2 linked regions of the Neurospora crassa OR74A genome follow. Each later gene encodes a partner of the first gene's protein in a complex. Links are inferred from orthologs where the notes say so. Each region holds a gene or a part of one and is shown on either strand. Other genes may lie near its edges. The genes, in order: NCU10029 and trx.

Region 1 (2,885 bases):
AGTTGACGGAGGGGGGAACTCAAGTTCACAGTAAATGACCAGCACCAGGTTAACTCTCAAGTCCAAGTCCAAGGATGGTGAGTATCTCTAGGTACATAGTAGATCTACAATTGGATGTGGAGGACGTACCGCAACTAGAATATGTTGTACGCGTATACGCTATACGCGTATTCTTGTTACCCATCAGGGCCCGTTCGTTTCACCAGTAAAGGCTCCCTGTAAATGATTTCAGTAATTGCGTGGATTTGGCGAGTTGTACGGGATATGCGTGAATGGTAGGTCTCATGATTCGCGATACCAGCCGGCGTTTCTTGAGGGCCAGAGGTGGCTGCGTAGATGTCCCGTAAAATCTCGCGATACTGGTTGGCATTTCCACGGAGGTCAAAGGAGGTGAAATAGGTAGTTTTCAGTACCTAGAGGTAAATTTGGGTAAATGGTGTTAGCTGATTGGCTCAATTTCGTAATGATGACCCCCCTACCTAACGACCCCAGGGCAGCAACGCCACAGGCTGCTGGAAACCCGGACACTGCCAGCCACTTGGGGGGGGAGCATGGAAAGATATGTGTGGCAGCAGTGCAGGCTTTTCCCTAGAGGTAGGTAGATGGTGAATTCGAGGTAGGTTTCTGGCTTGAGTAAGGGGAGGACGTAGGGGGCTGCATGACCAAGATGGGACGCTGGGCATCCCACAGCCTTCAATGATGCTGACACAGGAAACGGATGCAGGCGGCCCCGCTATAGAACCATTCTCAGCCTCAATGCGGGATGCCTTCCGTTGGGTAGAGGTATCCTGCTCGGCACCATACTGCGTAGCCGCCATCCAGATGTTCTGACACGGTACATACCTCTACAGCTTTCTGCAGCGTCTCTTCGGGCGGGTCGTGGTCTGGTCAGGTCGTCCGGGTCGTCCGGGTGGTCGGGTATCTTGTGTGTGCGGGTCGGCCTAGATCCGTCGTGGCGGGAGCCCAGGGCAGCTGGGGCTCGGTGCGGGCGGGCTGGATGTCGCTCCACTGCCCGTCGGTCGGGGACTTGTGGAGGCACCCTCTGCCGCGGTGAACCGACGTAACATGGCCAAAAAGAGCGCATTCAAAATTTGCAAACAACGCCATCTCCATTTCACCTTTCGTCATCCACCTTGGTCCACTTTCATATTACTCAGCCCTACGCAGCTTCATAAAGCCCCCGACCTCCATCCATCAGCTTCGCCAAGTCCCATTCCGAACAACGTAACGCATGTCTTCGCTCCTCGGTCGCATCTTCCGTTCCCTCAACACCCAGACCTCCAAAATGTCCACTACCGCCTTCCCTTCCAGCCCCGTCACCGTCCCTGAGGGCGCCGAGAAGGCCACCGTCGCCGCCGGCTGCTTCTGGGGCGTTGAGCACCTCTACCGCAAGCACTTTGCCGACAAGGGTCTTTACGATGCGCGTGTTGGCTACATTGGCGGAGACGCCTCCAACCCCTCCTACAAGCAGGTTTGCTCTGGCAACACTGGCCGTAAGTCTTTTACCTCTCTGGCGACGCCTTCTGCCGCCCCTTTTGGGGATGCGGTCCCCCTCGCTTCAAGCTTGTTCACTCGACTGTGTCGCTGACAAGACCAAAGACGCCGAAGCTACCCTCCTGATCTACGATCCCACCCGTCTCTCCTACACCCAAATTCTCGAGTTCTTCTACAAGATGCACGACCCCACGACGCACAACCAGCAGGGGCCCGATCGTGGCGCGCAGTATCGCAGCGGCATTTTCTATCACAACGATGAACAGAAGAAGGTTGCCGAGGAGATCACCAAGAAAGCCAACGAACAGTGGTGGGGTGGTAAGATCGTTACTGAGATCCTCCCCGCCAAGGAGTGGTGGGACGCCGAGCAGTACCACCAGCTGTACTTGGTGAACAACCCCGATGGGTACGAGTGCCCCAGTCACTTCTTGCGCAAGTTCCCTGAGCTCAAGTAGGCTCTTGGTGTTTGACCAACTGTGCCGCCCCGAGCGCGCACCAAACTGAGTCCTGGGCGTAGCAAGAGTGCGCCCAGCACAACCTGGGGATGACATTCGGGCAGGATCCGGACGAGACATGATGGGATGGTAATTCAACACAGCGGGATCCCGGACAACATACACGGCATGGGCGGATTTAACATACTAGCGACAACATTGCATCAGGCGGCGTTTGGGACGGCAGAAAGATGTTGGGTTTTGCCGTTTTTTTTTTCGGAGTTATCTTGGGATATCTATCTAAATTTACAAGTAGAATACAAACAACTGCCTGAACCGAATCGGACCAACAGCTCCTTCTTGCGTGACTCCGTCAACAACCGACACTGAGCAAAGTGCTGACAAAAACTTCAAAGGCAAACGATCTGGTATCTTGTTCAACGCTTTCTTGGTTCGACTCATCCTAGAAACACCGCTTACTTCCTGCGGTTCTGCTGCATCATGAGAATCTGCACCATGCGAACAAAGATGTTGAGGAAGTCAAGCTCAAGCGAGATGGACTCGTTGACGGGATCCTCCTTGATGACGCCAGCCTGGGCAAGACGAGCATGGTAGAGAACCCTCTGGACATCATAGAGGGTAAAGCCACCGAAGACAGCAAGACCACCATAGAGCCAGAGGTTCTCGGTGAAGGCAAGGGTGCGGACGGCAGTGGCGGGGAGAACCAGAGGAGCGAAGCCAGAAACGGCGACAATGGCAGCACCGGCGAGAAGAGGACCGCCAATGTAGAGGTACTTCTCCTGCTTAGCGGTGGCACCGACAAACGAGATGGCGCCCATCATGGCGATGGTGTAGAGACCGGCGCGAGCGAGGAGAGCGGGAGGGGCCATGGCGAGGAGGGGAGCGACAAAGGCGGCCTGGGTAGCGTTGAAGACGGCCCAGCAGGCATACTTGGGG
Region 2 (2,865 bases), on another chromosome or scaffold:
GTTTTCATGGTAGTGACGGGTAATCGACGTTGCGGTTCGAGTGGCTTTCGCGAGTCGTTGGGTTCCCGGCTCTTTGCAAGTTGAGGTTCAAGATAGACATCACTTGGCAATAATACACGACCCAAATTGGCATTGCGTTTCGTCCTACCGGCAAAGTTTCTTGATCAGGCTTCAGTAGGCGGCAAGATAGGGCACTTGAGTACACCCGAGCTAGAATTCATGCTGGAAGGGAGGTCTAGGGGTATGGAGGGTATGGAGACGTTTATATAGCGGCCGACACATACTGCGTACTGCGTAGTAGAGGTAGTAAAGAATTGCTCACTCCAGACTGGCAAAGATCGACGGCAGGCATTTGCATCACATGTTGTGTGTGATCTGAGGCACATGGGCTCTTGGCATAAGTACGGTGGCCCAAGTCTGGGTTATGCTCAATTGAAAAGTTTTGGTTGCAAAAAAGTCCCTGGCAGTGGCAACCGCTAGACTCGCACCGAAGGGTACCATTCGAATGCACACTAATGCAACCCCGACATCCAACTCCAATTCCAACTCTAAGCAATGAAGCAATGAAGCAATGAAGCAATGAAGTAATGAGAGTCAATGGGAGTTAATGGGAGTCAATGGGAGTCAATAGAGCCAATGGGCGGGAGCTAAGGTTTTGAGTAGTAGTGCAAATAGACCCCTAGACCTTCTCCAAATTCCAAAAATTTGGGGTACCTTTAAGGTGATAATGCAAATGGATCCTTTCGCCTTCCACTTAGGAAAAAGAAAAAAAAAGAAAAAAGCGAAGAGAAAGAAAGAGAGAGAGGTTGAGGGGCAAAAGAAAAAACGGAAGAAAAGTAAGGGGGGGGAAGAGAGAAGAAGAAAAATATCAAAAGAATATAAAGATGGATGGTGGTTAGCGCTTACTTTGTTACATTGATAGGTGTGAAGGACGGGAAGTGGATAGAGGCGTTGATATAAAATAGCTTGCAGCTGAGGCCAAATGGAAGCTCGGACCAGTTTTCAATTGAGTATAACCCAAACTTGGGCCACCGTACATAAGTCGAGATCGCCAAAGAGACACAATCGCGGCTTGGGCGATGGAGCGGGCTGGATCAGGGAGCTTATCGGTTACCTATCTACATAGTAGGTACCTCTAGGTCCAGTACGCAGGTACGTTATCAGCCATGACCCACCCCCTTCTACTGTGTACCTCTACCTACCCCGCCAACGACAGACACGGCTCACCTCACGGTGACGGTCGCGTCCAGCGGTTATAGTGAATGGTTATGTAGTCCCCTAACAAAGTTGAAAGCCGACGCCTGCCAGCAACTCTCGCCGCAACTTGCGATTTCTTAGCCAAGGTGTGTACAACCCTTATCGCCGGAGCCATCTCCTACGGGCAGTTCAGGTTACTTAACCGTGAAAATTTGCAGCAATCTACTTCGCAATCGATTCTCCCTCGACCGAACACACACAAACATCATCGCAATGTCGGACGGCGTCAAGCACATCAACTCGGCCCAGGAGTTTGCGAACCTCCTCAACACAACCCAGTACGTCGTCGCTGACTTCTACGCCGACTGGTGCGGGCCTTGCAAGGCCATTGCGCCCATGTATGCCCAGTTTGCGAAGACCTTCTCCATCCCCAACTTCCTCGCCTTTGCCAAGATCAACGTCGATAGCGTCCAGCAGGTTGCTCAGCACTACCGTGTCTCCGCCATGCCCACCTTCCTCTTCTTCAAGAACGGCAAGCAGGTCGCCGTCAACGGTTCCGTCATGATCCAGGGCGCCGATGTCAACAGTCTGCGGGCCGCTGCCGAGAAGATGGGCCGTCTGGCAAAGGAGAAGGCCGCTGCCGCTGGCTCGTCGTGAGGTTCGGAAAGGAAAGAAAACAAACAAAAGAGATCAAAAGCATACAGAGCACCCTGTTGTGGATCAAGTGTACATACTACTACACTACAACATGGACATTTGCGTCTGACTATTTTCGGCGGGGGTTGGAGATCAGCTGTTGCTGAATGAACCGAATAGAAAACTGTCGGTTGTTCAGGTTATGATGTCATGGGATCTTCGGGCGACGGTCTGATAAGTACCCATGGGCATGATCACACCGTGACCGTGACCCTTGAGCCCCAATATCTGCCGGATACTTAACTATCATATACTATGTACACTACTGGATAGTACACACAGTGATCAATCACCTCCGCCCTTGACTCATTGACCCTATCAGTCGGCCATCCTACAAGACCTTTTGTTTTTCTTGGCGTTTCCCTATATCAGCATAACACTCCATCGTGACCCCCATCTGCCACACCACTATTCAACAGCACTATGTCAACCTCACGTAACGGCGAGAGACATGGCAAGCAAAAGTCTCGCGACACAACCCCAGAGAGCTATCTTGGGAGCTCACCAGACAGAGGCGACTCTAATGTTATCCAGCAATATCAGCCACAAAGGCTTCAACAACAGCAGCAATCGGTCCAAGGGACAACAAGAGGTAGTCGCAGTGGCGCTCTTGCCGTTAGGCTCGATATGGACTTGGATATCGACTTGCAACTGAGGGCAAAGATAAAGGGAGACATCACACTTTCTATGCTGTGAGTCTTAATCACGTTTATATAAGTTGATTTCACGGCTAACCGATCTATGAACGGCAGGGAAGGAGACCAGAAATGATTATCGACAATGACTCGGAAAGATGACCTCAAAATCAATATTTTAATTTGGTAGCCTGAACATGGTCATGTTTTCTAGTCTCAGTATGCTTCTTGCGTTCCAGTATCAACTGTTGTCATCACAGTCAACTATCAGGTGATGCCTCCATCACCAACGCATGTGGCACCGCAAGCCCGTGAGCAGGCAGCTACCCACCCTCCC

The links.
Region 2: the proteins of NCU10029 (region 1) and trx are in contact, whole or in part, in a crystal structure (PDB 3PIN), measured with the Saccharomyces cerevisiae proteins. The link is inferred for Neurospora crassa OR74A from reciprocal best matches to the Saccharomyces cerevisiae genes MXR1 and TRX2. Residues at the interface, in NP_010960.1 of Saccharomyces cerevisiae: Trp27, Gly28, His31, Gly173, Tyr174, Ala175, Cys176, Pro177, Thr178, His179; in NP_011725.3 of Saccharomyces cerevisiae: Trp30, Cys31, Gly32, Pro33, Asp59, Val70, Ser71, Ser72, Met73, Pro74, Gly90, Ala91, Asn92.

The regions. Positions count from the first base shown.
Region 1 is NC_026501.1:9,765,208-9,768,092, reverse strand, and holds NCU10029 (peptide methionine sulfoxide reductase msrA), read left to right. Parts: upstream 1-1,060; 5' UTR 1,061-1,231; coding exon 1,232-1,493; intron 1,494-1,599; coding exon 1,600-1,949; 3' UTR 1,950-2,274; downstream 2,275-2,885. Other genes in the region: NCU10028 (bax Inhibitor family protein), read right to left, coding at 2,405-2,885. UniProt on the Saccharomyces cerevisiae protein: Has an important function as a repair enzyme for proteins that have been inactivated by oxidation. Catalyzes the reversible oxidation-reduction of methionine sulfoxide in proteins to methionine.
Region 2 is NC_026503.1:671,991-674,855, forward strand, and holds trx (thioredoxin I), read left to right. Parts: upstream 1-1,241; 5' UTR 1,242-1,343; intron 1,344-1,415; 5' UTR 1,416-1,470; coding exon 1,471-1,854; 3' UTR 1,855-2,197; downstream 2,198-2,865. UniProt on the Saccharomyces cerevisiae protein: Participates as a hydrogen donor in redox reactions through the reversible oxidation of its active center dithiol to a disulfide, accompanied by the transfer of 2 electrons and 2 protons.